Pelodiscus sinensis: one gene and its partner. The protein of the gene in region 1 purifies or fractionates together with the protein of each later gene. This does not show direct contact. Links are inferred from orthologs where the notes say so. Each region holds a gene or a part of one and is shown on either strand. Other genes may lie near its edges.

Region 1 (7,188 bases):
GGCAAGTAGAAAATTAAGTTTCTGCTGCCATCTTTTCTAAGAAAAAGAACAAAGGCAAGAGTGTATTCGAATCTTCATTCTAATATTGATATCTCAGCAAGGTAACCAAGTATTCATGTTCCACAGATACACAGTATTAAAATGAAATTACAAGATGATTTAATAAATATTAGATAAAATATTGTTACATTTTGGTCTTTAGATTAGTAATAACTTGTCAGAGTACCTAAAAAGAGCTTGTGCGCTTCATAGACAGAAGCCTTTCAATTGCTTATGAAGTCCGGATGCTATTACAAACTAGTGGATGCTAGGAAAAGAAAATGCAGTCCACAAATACCACCATCAGATCAATTAAATAATCTTACAGAAACTGCCCTTTTTAATATATAGGTTCACATTCTGGTAAAGAACAGTCTGCAATACTATAATGAAATCTGTTCAAAAACAGATCTGCAATGCGTATGCTTTTCAGTTTGCAACATCAATCAATATCCAACACTGAAAAGGGTATATGGCAAAAGATGCAATAAAATTGTATTTGCTTTAGGAACAGGACAATGTTCTCTATTAAAAAAAACATGTCATTGGGAGAGGCTCGTTGAGGTGTTAGATTTCCCATTTCTATTCCCAGTTAATGATCAAAGCTCTTCCACTAACCGAAATACCACCATAGTTTTAAAAGCTGTGCACACACACAACTACCCTGCCTTTCAAGAACCAGCTGAGAGACTGTTTACAATATGCAGCCAGTCTAGGGCTGCATGGATAGTCTTACCACATTTCATGAGTTCGGACTATGTTTGATACAAGTTACGACCTCTACACCTCTATTAATTTAAAACCAAACTGAGCTTAAAGAAAAGAAGAAAATATTCACAATGTAAAATCCAAGAGTTTTTGGAGGAACAATTATGTAACATCCACACACTCCTTGTTACAGACCCTAATCAAGGTAACCACAAAACCACAAAACCAAAACAGAGGCAGAACGATTATGGTTCATGCATTCTTCTTCTCACTCACATGGGGCAGGCAAAATATGGCTCATCTGACCTGCAGCCTGCCCTCTCAGGCATAGAGCCTGCCTGAAGGTCCAGCTAGTCAGGAGCCACCAAGTAAGTGCCTCTAGGCCAGAGACTACACCTGACACCCCACCTTCTCCTACACTCCAACTCCCTACCCCAGGTCACCATCCCTTCCCTCTGCACCCTTCTCTCCCAGGTGACAACTCTCTCCCAGACCCTGCACTCCTCTCACACTGCTCCCCCAAGACAGAATCCTTTCCTGCACCCCGCACCTCCTTCCTAATTCCCTATCCCAGGTGACAACTTCCTCCTTCACCCAAACTTCCTCTCAAACTCCACACCCTCTCCTGTACCCCAATCCATAACCCCAAGCTCCCTTCTGCACCCAACTTCCATCTAAGACCTCACATCCCCTCCATTGAAAAACGCAGCCCTTGATCACTTACCAAAATCTCAGGGTGCCCCCTTCATAAAAAAGTAGACACTGCACTGATATATATCTTGATGTCATTAGCAAAGCCAATGCCTTCCCACCCTCTCCCAGAAACCCAGGAAACAGAGTCCCAAGCAGGCATTAGCTCAAGCTGCATCTGCCAGGAGGAGGAAGAGAACAACCTAACTTGAGGTGGGCAAGTCTTCCTTACCAGGAATAACCCACCACTACCGCCTATCATCACACCTCAGCATTAAAGAGAAGTGTGGGTAGCAATTCCCCTCCCTAGTCTGTAGGGCTTCAACTTTGCTACCCCCCAACGAACACACATGATAAATCATCCCCAGATCTGGCTGTTGGGAAGTCTCCTTCACTGGGACAACTCTCTCCTCCTTCTTCCATCATCTATGATTGTGATGTTTGCCACACTATGTATGGGGATAACTCCCCACCCCCTAAGGCAGCACCACTGAGGAGAGGGACTAACCCCCTCCTATCCCTAGCACTCTGGAGAGGGGTATCATCCTGCTGTGCCCAAAGGATGGAGGAAGCCAAAGACATTGCCTCCGCCCACAACTCAGCCCCCTCATAGGAGGAGATTTTGCTCAATGTAAAGGGATTAATTCCCATATGAAATAAGTGAAGGTTAAATTCCACCAGGAGAGGGATAAAGGAGATATTACATGGGGAAACCAGGTTCCTCCATCAGCGAGAGGAACACAGGGGTTCAAATCCCAAACAGAGGTAGGTAAACTGGGTGCCACAAGGAGAATGCACTTAGACCCCCACCAAAGAAGGGAACAGAGGGTTAAATTCCATAGCGATTATAGCTAGGATGTAGGAGATGTTACAGGGAATGGAGTAACCCCCACCCCCACCACGAAGGGGAACGGGGTTAAGCCTCCCAGAAGGGAGAGATGGGGTGCCCTAGGGTTACATCGTTAGATGGGGGATGGAGCTAGACATCCCTGAAGAAGAACGGGTGCGGACTAGCCCCCGCAGAAGGCGGGTGGGGTGTCCCAGGGAAGGGGTGGAGGACAAGCCCCCGCAGAAGGCGGACAGGGTGACCCGGGGAAGGGGGTGGTGTCCCGGGGAATTGGGGGGACAAGCCCCCGCAGAGGGCACGCAGTCTCCAGGGAGGAGGTCACTGCAGCAAGCTCCCCCCCCCCCCCCCCGCCGCACGGCTCCAAGGCTCACTCACCTCTAGCAGCCCAGAGCCCCCCGCAGAGCAGCCCAGCGGTCAGGAGCCAGGCGGGGGCTAGGCGGGGGCAGAGCATCCCGGGGCGCAGCATCGCGCGCGCTCTGCCCGCTCAGAGTGGCAGGGGGGATGGACCCCTAAGAGACAGAGGAGGGGGCCCCCCAGCGGGCCTGGTTGCGTCCCGCGCTGCGGGGCGGAGGGTTAGGGGCGCTGCGAAGGCTCCGCTCCCCTCCTCAGAGCGCAGCGCTCTGCCAGCGGCAGCTAGGATCAAGATGGCGGCTGATGCCTGGGCTCATTCTCTCCCGCACCGGTTACCAGGCGGGGGAGGGGGGCCCAGGGAGAAACCAACTCTAAGGGAGGGATTCGGGAGATGAGGAATGGGAGAAACCATCTTATCCCTCTGGCGGAGGGGAACAAACCATTTGGAGTGGGGAGGGGGGGGCAAAAGGAGAGGAGACCACACCTTATCTCTGGGGGCTAGAGGGCAGAACCATTTATGGGAGGGGAGCACCTTATTTCTTGGTGTGGATTCGAGGGAGGAGAGAAACCAAACCTGTAGAGGGGGGTATCAAGGGAGGGGATAACCCACCCCTCCATTGGGTGGCTGGGGGTGGAGGGAAGGAAAATACCATCTGGGGCAATAGAGAGATGGGAGAAGCCATCGCCTCTCTGTGGGGAGAAGGTGGTTTTCACTCTTCTACCTGGAAGGAACCAAGAGTGTCCTTCTCAGGTGTCCTATCACAGCCTCTGAGCCCCTCTGCAGAGTCCAGGGCTGGAGCGTGGGGAGGGCTCCTTTCCTTTGGCAAGGGAGGGGCAGGGGGCAGGAGGCCGGTGCTCATGTGCCAGCCCTTTTGCATGGGTATGAAGCATCACCCACTGCAATCACACCGGATTTGCTCTGTGTAGGTAGGAGCGGAGGCGGGAGGGAGGGAGAGTCAGAGGCACCATCCATTTTGTCCTGCCCTGCAGGCTCTACTGCTGCAAAGGGGCAGAAGGTAGAGGAGGATGCTCAGCCCCGTTGTGCACCGTGGTAAGCACCACCGAGTGGGCGCCACCCCGATCAAAATAACTAACAATGCGGGGCGTGCTCGCGTGGTCTGTGTTGGCTGGAGCGGAAGGCAGCGCTCCATGCCGGTGCGTGATTCAGTTTGCACTGCAATGCAGACGTCTTGGGATGCGGGGAGGGAAGGCAAGAAAGGCTCAGTGCCTTTCGCGTCGCAGTCAACTTCACACTCCACGGCAAACTCGCGTGCTTTCCCCTGGATGGAGGAGGAGTTAAAACGGTGGCCCCTGTTAATTATTTATTTGTGGGCACGTGGAGTGGGCGGATGGTGGGGATGTGAAATGCTGTCTCACCCGCGATGCTTTTTTCCTTTCTGCGTTGTATTAAAATTCACAAACTGCAATGCAGTGTAATCCACCCAGGAACCAAACCCCTTTAGTGTTTACTCGGCCAAAAATCCGATACCAAGGACATTTTGCCTGGGTAAGAACTGTTGGAAGATCACAGGATTTACCTAAGAGACACTTTGCGGTGTAATTGCCCTGAGGCAACAATTATTTTAGGAGGCTAGATTTCCCTTCAAAGTATGTAGGATTGTTGTCTTCTTTCTGTTGTTGTGTACTTAATTTCCACTGTTGTGGTAGTTTTTCCTGATTTTCCCCAAATAATCATTCATTGTTTACCTTACTGCAGTTGAAATGAACTGTTTTACAAGATTGCTCTGTATCTGGCGAATACAAAAATAATGTTTTAGGATCTGAAGTTATTTTACGAACATTAACTAATTAAACTTCATTACTCCGTAGTGGGACACTATCAAGTCATTTAAAAAAATACTTTTAAAATAGTCCATTTCCTGATACATCAACTTTTAAATAGTATATCTTAACCTTCTAAACATCCCTTTACATTTTTATAAGGGATTTGCCTGCTCCTGTGTTAATGTTTACAGAGATGTTTCCAGCAAGGCAAGATCTGGCTCACCCTTCGCCCCTCGCCCCCCACTACAAGTCCTGCAATAGGGGAGTTTTGCCCATTGACTTCAGGAGGAACAGAATCAAGCCCTAAAACCCAGATTCTGCAAGACATATGTAGAGGTCCACTCACACATGTCACACTATAGCTGGGAGTCTTTCGGGAAAATGGTAAAAGACACCTGTATAAAGTACTGTCAAATGCACAAAGTGGAAAAAACAGAAAAATATGGTGAAGTATTTTGGGGGGGGAGTGTTTTTTGGAGAAGGTTAATCTAAGTCACAATAGTGTACACTTATCTAAATGCTTGATATTAAGTACATACATAAGTATGTAGGATCCCAGCTATAGGTGATTTCTGAGTTAGTGTTCCTTTAAGAATTATTAGCCCCATTTTACAGATGGGGAAACTGAAAGTACAAAATACCTTTCTCATAACTGAACAGTATAAACTTTTCTGCATAAAGTAGCTAAACTGTTTTTGAAGTACCTAAAATATGCAGACGTGCTGATTAGTGACATGCATTTTATGTACATGGATTTGTTTTTTTAAATTAGGATACAGGGTTATTAGTTCTATCTGCGAAAACATGTAGGTGCCCCACATAGAAGATTGCATATGAATAATTTAGGGGTATAGTACTTGTATAGCTGTAGAAGGGTGATTGTCTCAGCTTCCTTTGTTATTGCTCTTTGATCAAAAAATTCTATCAGAGAGCCAGATCCAAAAAGGAAAATCTTACCTTCCCAGATTTATGGAGCTTCATAAAAGACAAAGTGAGACAGACTGATTTTATCATTACAGAAATAGCTGGTTTGCATTTATTAGCAATTTCACTTCCACAGTGAAATAAAAATAAAACACAGACTGTTTTGACACCCCTGATATGGTTTTTGTTTCCATCTTTTTTCATATTTAAACTCATCATGTGACTTTAGTGCTGGTATCACAGACAGCTCTGTTTATCTATAGAACAGGCAGTCCCAGTAACAGCTCCTCCCAGGTTGTCCCATCAATGTAGTAGTAAAACAAATTCAAGATGTAGGGGGGGCCAACCAACCTTCCAGAGGCAAGAGGATAATTTATTTCCGACACCTGTCAGTCCTTGATCTCTCTTCTAAAAGACAATTAGTGACAATTATGATGTGTTTTGTCTAATGGACACTTCATCATTGAGAACTGGATAAAGACAACCAAACACTTTTCATGTAGGCCACCAAAAAAACCATTAAGAAGCGACTTTCACTCTCTAGCATCCTGGGTTGGATTTAAATCAGAACCTGAAGGTAAAGATTAGCACCAATCCCCTAAATTATCCAGCCCACTCCAGGATGCTTTTTGTAGTTTGGTAGCTACACATTCTATGATGAAAATATGACTGCTTTCTCAGTATAGAGCCAAAATCTTGTGAGCATATATCCCACTACATGACAGAGAAAAGTAGTGAAAGAAGAAACTGAATGTCCCACAGCATTAAAAGGAGCTTGGAAAGTCTAGTGCTTGGTGCAGGATGCTCTGAGCCAGAATTCTTGGGTTCTATTCCTAGAAGGGCCAAACATTTTCTATGTGGGTTTTTTTTAAGCAAGTTACTTAATCTTTCTGTGCCTCAGTTGACCAATCGGTAAAATAGTAATAATATCTTCCTTACAGGGATACTTTGAAACTTGGGTTTGTAAAATAGTGTGTAAATCTCACATTGAAGGTGCTATCATATCCACAGTATTATTAAAACAGACTGACTCATTAGAAGATGACAGAGAGCATTATAGAATGGGGCATGATCCAGAGAGGTGTGGAGTATCCACAACTTCCCTTAACTCAAGTGGGAGTTGTGGGTGTTGAGCATCTCTTGGGCTCAGTCACAGGGCATGTCTGGATAGGCTCGTTTTCTTTACACAGTTCTTTATAGATGCATCATTTCCTCTGCAAACTGATGCTCAAGGAAAATGAAACCCTTCGGGGATCTTTCTCAGTGAGGCTCCATCCTCAGGGAACAGCTTCTGCTACTCAGATTGCTCTTTGAATTTCCAAGGTGCCATTCGGCAGCTGGAGAAATGCCATATCGTGGATTGTTCAAAGAGTTTTATTAGAGCTTAATATGATCTCAAGGATGTGCCAAGTTTGTCATTACCTGACAATACAATTTTGTTAGTTTCTAACAAAGTAGCAGGGCTTTGACCGCTTGTATAAATACACTTGTAATGTTATTACTTCCTTTGTGGGGAGCAAGAGGGTGGATTTTTATTATTTTATTTTTAGGTATAAGCAGCATAAATACCAATGTCTGACTTGCCAATCCAAAAGCTTCAGGGGGTAGCTGAGTTAGTCTTTACAGGATAAATTTAAAAAACAACAAATAGTCTATTAACACCTTCAAGACTAACAAAACATATAGATATCATAAGCTTTCGTGGGCACAGCCCACTTGCCAATCCAAGACTGTTGGTACAATGACATCAGCCAAGATGGACCCAGAGCATCAGGGCAACTGAATCTGACATGTTGCTCACCAGCAAATAGAACAATTGGGGGGAAAAAAAAACCTCTAAGAAT
Region 2 (8,027 bases), on another chromosome or scaffold:
CTTTACTGATCCCTCCCATCTTCCACTCCTTATATGCTTTCTGCTTTTTCTTAATCTCCTCTCTGAGATGCTTGCTCATCCAGCTTGGTCTAACACACCTGCCTATAAATGTTTTCTCTTTTCTTGGGATACAGGCTTCTGACAGCTTCTGCAACTTTAACTTAAAATAATCCCAGGTCTCCTCCACCTCAAGATCCATAATTTCTTTAGTCCAATCAACTTCCCTAACTAATTTCCTTAATTAAAGTTATCCCTTTTGAAATAAAAAACCCTAGTCTCAGATTTATTTTTGTTTATCCTTCCATTTAATTTGAACTAAATTAGCTCATGATCACTCGAGCCTCGGTTGTCCCCTATTACCATTTCATCTATGAGGTCCTCGCTACTCACCAAAACCAAATCTAAAATAGCATCCCTCCTTGTTGGTTCAGCAACTACTTGATGAAGGAATTCATCAGCTATCACATCTAGGAAAATCTGAGCCCTATTATTATTACTAGCACTTGTTCTCCAGTCTATATCTGGAAAGTTGAACTCTCCCATGATTATGCAGTTGCCATGAGTATTTACTTCATTAAAAACATTAAAGAGGTCTCTATCCATATCCAAATTGGATCCTGGTGGTCTATAACACACCCCAAGCACTATCATATACAACCACAAACAGAAGGGCATTGAGCAAAGTAACTTAATAAATCAAGAAGTACTTGCCAGTTAAGGCAAAGCATACCAATTCTTCCCTATTGAGCATTCAGTTTTACACATGCAGAACCCCTTCTTTCATGTCAGAAATACAAAAAACTCCATCATCTAGTCATTGTGAAGATAGCAGAAAATGTGTGTGTGTGGGGGGGGGGGAATCCATGTTATAATTTGTCACACTGTTTACTCCAAGAAAAATGAAGTGGAGAATTTATAATTAAGTAACTTTTCCCTCCAGACCTCATTATAAAGGAGAAGGGGGGGGGGGGGGGAAAAAGTTGATCAAAAGCTCTAATTTAGTCCCTACACTGGAGGCTTGATAAGTCAGAAACAAATACAAATTCTAAGCAGCAGTGCATTACATGAGGGCTTTTCTTTTGTGTTTTGGACTCTTAAAATGAACTCTGAATTCTCCAGCACTGTAGATGAGCAATGTGTGAATAAAGACAGATATACAGACACACACTTCAAAAGCTAGGTATAAACAATTAAATATACACACACTATATCAATATTATATGTACAAATAACCCCATTCTAGATGAAGTAATGCCAAAACTGTGAAAGTTACATTCTAAAATAATGTACATATAAATTACTAGGAGAGGGATGGAAGCACACAATTTAAAAAAATGAATACAGCAAAGACTGCAATCAGAGAAAAGGATGATCCTAGCAGCAGCAACTTTCCGGTTAGAAACACTTTCCATTTCCAGTGCTCATCTAACTGAAACGAGGCAGCTGCATTAAAGCTTCCCCACCACCACGGTTACCACAATAGAAAGAAAGAAAAGCTCTTCTGTACCAGGCAGAGAACATCTTCTCCATCCCTGCACCAGACCCAGCCACATAAATACCATCGGCCGCCTCCCTAGACCGCAAGAGCAGATCGACCCTCTCATCAGCTGCTACACATTAAACAATAAACTCTCCCATATTAGTAACACTGCACTCTTCTTGCTGGAGTCTCTTTCCAAACTGGCTTTTCTGTGCTGTGATGGCAACGTTGATTTCCTCCCCCGCAAGAGGATGGGGATGAGATTTGATGGCAGCAAAATCCTCACTCCACAAGGAACCCAAAGGTTCCTCTCCACCCCCACGGACCCCCTTTCAATGAGCTTAATTTCCCCCCACTAGCTGGAGCTACAATCCGGTTGGTCAGTTGGTTGGGGGGAGAAGCCGCATGCAATATCCTGTGACCAGCATCCCACCAGGACAAGGAGCTCGGGGCCGGGGAGTCACATTTGCATACAGCATCTGCTCCTCCTCTGCCCCCGCCCAACGCACTGCAAGGAGCTAGGGTAGGGGCATGAGATGTGCGTGCAGTCTCTGCTCCCCACACCCACCGCAAAGAGCCCAGGCTCAGGGAGCGGGACCTGCGGTGTTCGTGCGGGGGAAGGGGACCAGCCCTGGCACGCAAGGAGCTCGGGGTAGGAGGAGCGGGGGACGCGCATGCAGCATCGGATCCCCTCCCCCCACACGACACTGCAAGGCGCTGGGTCGGGAGAGCGGCCCTTGCATGCGGCATCCGACCTCCTCCCTCCGCACACACCGCACAGCACCCCGGGGCTCGTGCACCGCGTTCCCTGCCAGCCCTGCAGCATCCAGCCCGCTCCGGAGGGAGCTCCCGGCGGGGAGGGGTCTGCAGCAGCCCCCCCCTTCCTCTCCTGCCCCCTCTCTGGGAGCAAAGCGCCAGCGTGTTACCCCCCCCCCCCCCACATCCACTGACCTGGACCGGGACTGCGCCGCCTCCGCTCCTGCTCCTCGCAGCCCCAAGGGGAGCGGCCGCACCGGCTCTTTTGTGTGACTGCTCCGGAGCCGAGCCACACACGGAGACTGCTAATGAGCCCGGCAAGCTGAGTAGCAGCAGACACCGCCCCCTCCCGCACTGCCCCGCACGCTGCATGGCGCAGAACCAAACCGTGCAGGCGTCCGAGACCCCCCGCCTTGGGGCTGGGCTTCAGCACGAGCGACGCGGCCCCCGCACCCAGCCCCGCTCATTAACACGATCGCCCTCCCCCTAGTCCCGGCAGCGGATAAAGAACGAGGCAGACAGGACTTTCCTAAGAACCTTGCCCGGGTTTTCTCTGCCTAACTGGGGAGGAGAGCTGGGTCGAAATTCCGTGTGTTGCCCTTCCGTCCCCTTCGCGATAAAGTGGGGGGGTGTTTGGTCCTGGGGGGTGGTACAGAGTCGCCTCTGCTACAAAGATACCCCATCTGTAGCTGGGCAAAACAAAAGACCCTTCCAAATATTTAACTTGAGATGCTACAGGTACAATCCGTGGCATGTGGATATGCTGAAGAGATATTTGCTTTGTATGGTAGACAAAGAACTCGAAAATGGGTGGAAGAATCAACTGGATAATTTGCTTTAAAATACCAAGAATTTTGATACATTATTCAAGACATTTTGGATGAGCTCTAATCCCACACTCCCCCCCCCCCCCCCCAGGTCACACCTGCCTACAAGTGGTAAAGTCTGAGAGCTTCACTTCATCTGCCAATAAGTTTTCTTTGTCCGGCTTCAAAACAAATCAGACATACCATGCATTTTATATTTTAAAAAAATCAGAAGATCGCCAATTGGCAAAGCAGGGACTATTCTAAGCTTGAGAGTAAAGCACTATTCTTAGTCCATGTCTGGTTCTTTGGGACCACTTCTAGGTTCTGCTCTAGTGCTTTATAGTACAACTATAGGATGGCCCTATGTCTGGTTTTTGACCGGAAAGTCCAATCAAAAAGAGAACCTGAACAGTGTCTGATCAGCACTGCTCTCTGAACATTGAAAGTCTGAAAACAACTAACCACAGTCAGCCTCCCCATCAAGAGAGTGGTAAGACCAGCAGCTGCTCAGCAGCCAGGGAGAGCCTCAGCAGCAGCTGCAGTGGTGCTACAAGCAGAGCAGGCAAGGGGGAGGTCAAGCTCTAAGCATGACTGAGAGGCCATTGGAAGGAAGGATGCACCCCCGCTACCTCTAGGGAACAAAGAGCTTCACTTCAGCTACTAAGAAGATATCGAGGCAGGAGCCATTTGGAGTGCAGCCCTTGGCTCTGCTTTGCTTGACTTCTGATGCAGCAGAGAGGCCTGGATTCAGCACAGAGCCACTTGCCCTGAAGGCCGGCTGCCAATTCTGGACCCATGCACAGTGTGATCATTGCCCAGCTAGGAGCTGGACTGGTCCCTAGGAATTCAGGTGCCTGCTTGCTCTGAGTGGCAGAAGTTGGCAGGCTCTGGTACATTGTAGCCAGCCTGCCCCAGCTGTAGCTGAGGTAGTCCAAGAGCCCAATATTTCCTCACCATCAGACACAGAGGAACCTGGAGCAGAGGATAGTGAAACCCCTCAGAAGAAGTAGGGAGAGCCCAGAAGCAATATTTCCATGTAAGTTTTCTGGATCCAGCCAGGGTGAACAGGTCACAGCTTGAGGGGGGCTACAAATAATGGGCCAAGTTCCCCATGTGAAAGTGAATAGTTCCCTGCTCTCAGTTCAAGGGCCCAGATGACCAGGGAGTACCTGGGCATATTCAAGACTGTGCCTTGCCATGGTGGTGGAGAATGGAGGAGCTGGGGGTCAGGACTCCTGGGTTCTCTCCCTGGCTCTGGGAGGGGAAGAGAGGTTAGAGCAAAGTGGGGCTGGAATCCTGGACTCTTGGGTTCTGTTCCCCCCAGCTCCTCCACAGACTTGTGAGACTTGAGTGAGTGGCTTATGGATCGTGCTTCCCCACCCTCTCAGGTAACCCTCAGGAGGATGGGGAGAGTTCAATGGGCCCCAGACTGGGCACAGGGCAGGGTGGGAGAGAGGAGTGAATAGAGGGCAGATCCTCAGAAGAAGGGGTGGAGAAGAAGTATCCACTTTTCAAAAATTGGCAACCCCTATACAACTACTTAAGAATTACCTCATGTAAAGTAACCTGCTAGGATGAACAGTTACAGAAGAACAGATCTAAACTACACAGCCCAAATAAGGAGCATGACACGCTCATAGTACCAGAGTGCCTGTACCCTACAACTATTCACAGTTGCTACAACTCCTCCCAACAGGGGCAGATGACCATTTTGCGGGGCCCAGGGCAGCACAATTTTGCGGGGGCCCCCCTTTGCCACGGCACATACACGGGGCTCCTTGAAGCGCGGGGCCCGGGGCGGCCACCCCACTCGCCCTGCCCTATAACCGCCCCTGCCTCCCAATGAGCTGTTGCAGCAAAGTAAGTTAGAGCAACCTATGGAGTTCTCAAGCTTCTGTGAGGGAACAGACTAGCTCCTACTTAGGTCCAGATAGCATGTTAAGTGCCTTTCTGCACCTATTTCTCCCTCCCACCACCAGCTGCCAAATTCAGTTCATTCAAGGCACAGAATTGATTTTTTCCCTCTGTTCAACATCACTTTCACAGCTGTAATATCTGTGCCTATGGCACCCTGAGCACCCAACACTCAAAGTGGCAGGTTTTAATGTTGCCTACTCTTCCCCACCACTGATCTATGCATTTCAATTAGAAGTTCAATCATTAATCCCCCTCAACTCCTATCCAGTGATCCCTAGAGTCTATTAAAAAGTCTACATCTCTGTATTAGAAAGCCATGTTGAACTTAAAAACTCCACAAGACACCATCTGGGGATCCTCCTTTGTAACACATGTATTACGCAATCAGTAATTCATAGTTTGAATACTATAGTCCAGGGCCACCAATAGACTGCCCCTTTCTCTAGCAGTGGAAAAGGGAGGGCAAGAAGGGAACTGACATTTCCTTCATTAGCAGTAGCTGGCAGCACCACTAAATTGGGCAACCTATGTTTTAAAGGAAATATACTAAACAAGGCTTATTTTTAAGAGACAACATGCCTCACAATGCTTTATTCACAGTTTAGGAGTCATTTGCATTACAGTGTATGTTTTTTGCATATTTCTCACATCAACTAATTCTTAGTATCACCATATTCAGTGCTGGCTAGGGATATTTTAGATAAAGGATTTTTTAGATAAAGGAAATGCAGTGGATCTAATCTACCTTGATTTTAGTAAGGCATTTGATACAGTACCACATGGGGACTTATTGGGTAAATTGGAAAAGAAGCGGATCAATATGAAAATTGAGAGGTGGATAAGCAACTGGTTAAAGGGGAGAATACAGCGGGTCACACTGAAATGTGAACTGTCAGGTTGGAGGAAGGTTACTAGCGGAGTTCCTCAGGGATCAGTTTTGGGGCCAATTTTATTTAATCTTTTTATTGCTGACCTTGGCACCAAAAGTGGAAGTGTCCTGATAAAATTTGCAGATGACACAAAGTTGGGAGGTATTGCCAATTCAGAAAAGGATCGGGATATCATACAGGAAGATCTGGATGACCTTGTAAATTGGCGTGATAGCAATAGGATGAAATTTAATAGTGAGAAGGTTAAGGTTATGCATTTAGGGATTAATAACAAGAATTTTAGTTCCATCAGTTGGAAGTAACGGAGGAGGAGAAGGACGTCGGAGTCCTCGTTGATTATAGGATGACTATGAGCCGCCATTGTGACATGGCTGTGAAAAAGGCTAATACGGTCTTGGAATGCATTAGGCGAGGTATTTCCAGTAGGGATAAGGAGGTGTTAGTGCCATTATACAAGGCATTGGTGAGACCCCATTTGGAATACTGTGTGCAGTTCTGGTCTCCCATGTTTAAGAAGGATGAATTCAAACTGGAACAGGTACAAAGAAGGGCCACTAGGATGATCTGAGGAATGGAAAAACTGTCTTATGAAAGGAGACTCAAGGAGCTTGGCTTGTTTACCTTAACCAAAAGAAGGCTGAGTGGGGACATGATTGCTCTCTTTACATATATTAGAGGGATAAATACCAGGGAGGGAGAGGAATTATTTAAGCTTAATACCAATGTGGACACAAGAACAAATGGACATAAACTGGCTAGTAGGAAGTTTAGACTTGAGATTAGATGAAGGTTTCTAACTATGAGAGGAGTGAAGTTCTGGAACAGCCTTTCAAGGGATGTAGTGGGGGCAAAAGATCTATCTGGCTTCAAGATAAAGTTAGATGGGTTTATGAAGAGGATGGTTTGATGAGGTAATATGATCTTGGTAACTAATTGACCTTTCATTATCAGTGGTAAATAATCAATTGAGGGATGATAGGAGTTACTATAGACAACTTTTCCTGGGTGTCTGGCTAGTGAGTCTTGCCCACATGCTCAGGGTTTAGCTGATCGCCATATTTGGGGTCGGGAAGGAATTTTCCTCCAGGGTAGATTGGCAGAGGCCCTGGAGGTTTTTCGCCTTCCTCTGTAGCATGGGCCACAGATCACAGCTAGAGGATTTTCTGCATCTTGGGGTCTTTAAACTATTTGAAGGCTTCAATATCTGAGATTTAGGTGAGAGGATTATTCCAGGCGGGAGTGGGTGAGATTCTGAGGCCTGCTATGTGCAGGGGGTCAGACTAGATGATCATAATGGTCCCTTCTGATCTTAAAGTCTATGAGTCTATATTAAAAGTGCAAAATAGGTGATCACTCTAAATACCTGCTCTTGATTGGGGTGCTACAAAACATAAGATTGGTCCTACCAAAAAGAGAATAAAAAAGATTGAGCATTAGAGCTGAAAACATGGACATAACGGAGCATAATCTGTGGTAAGGTCATAGACTGACAGTATTAGCACAAGGTGGAAGAGATGTAGGGAAGGATATAAAGCCACATACAAAATATAGGAGTTATAAGATGATACATTTAATATTTGAAAGCTCATTGTGTCATATAGTGCCCTGGGAGCAACATTGTTGTGGTTGACCAGGCCTTTTATTAGAAATTGTTAGATACTTCTAAGGGCACCCACCGTGTTATTGATTATTTTGAATATAAAGGAACAGCTAGGAGGCAATTGTGACAGAAGGTAAGCTAGTGTATGTACAAACTGCAGATTGCTGGCTACTCCTTGGATCTGATCTCAGGGCAGTCATAAATATCTCATGACACTGAGAGTGAAAAGGCATTTTAATTTAGTTGACTTGCATTCCCATCAGGTAGATGTTATGCAATGTAGTCATTATGTGTCCAGTTCTGTTAGGCATGTGGTTTAAAGTGATGCATGACTACAGGCAGGGCCATCCCTAGGGTGTTGCAAGGCCCAGGGCAACCATCCTACCTCAGGTCCCTCCTACACTCCATCGCCACCCCACTCCACCCCTTCCCCCAAGTCTTGCCCCTGCCCTGCTTCTTCCCACCCCTGCTGCACCCCCACCCAAAACACCTCTCTGTACAATATGAGCTAGATTACTAGGGGGCTGGGCAGCGGCAGAGCAGATATCGCTCCGGCTCTCACCACTACTGTGAGT

What was found. The genes of interacting proteins can lie anywhere in the genome.
Region 2: the proteins of CLSTN1 (region 1) and APBA2 purify together in Homo sapiens (affinity purification with western blotting; 3 studies listed by BioGRID and IntAct, with this or other methods). This does not show direct contact. The link is inferred for Pelodiscus sinensis from reciprocal best matches to the Homo sapiens genes CLSTN1 and APBA2.

The regions. Positions count from the first base shown.
Region 1 is NC_134733.1:12,835,846-12,843,033, reverse strand, and holds the start of CLSTN1 (calsyntenin-1), read right to left. Parts: upstream 3,007-7,188; 5' UTR 2,751-3,006; coding exon 2,660-2,750; intron 1-2,659. UniProt on the Homo sapiens protein: Postsynaptic adhesion molecule that binds to presynaptic neurexins to mediate both excitatory and inhibitory synapse formation.
Region 2 is NC_134724.1:44,052,290-44,060,316, reverse strand, and holds the start of APBA2 (amyloid-beta A4 precursor protein-binding family A member 2), read right to left. Parts: upstream 3,046-8,027; 5' UTR 2,432-3,045; intron 1,789-2,431; exon of another isoform or gene 1,508-1,788; intron 1-1,507. UniProt on the Homo sapiens protein: Putative function in synaptic vesicle exocytosis by binding to STXBP1, an essential component of the synaptic vesicle exocytotic machinery. May modulate processing of the amyloid-beta precursor protein (APP) and hence formation of APP-beta.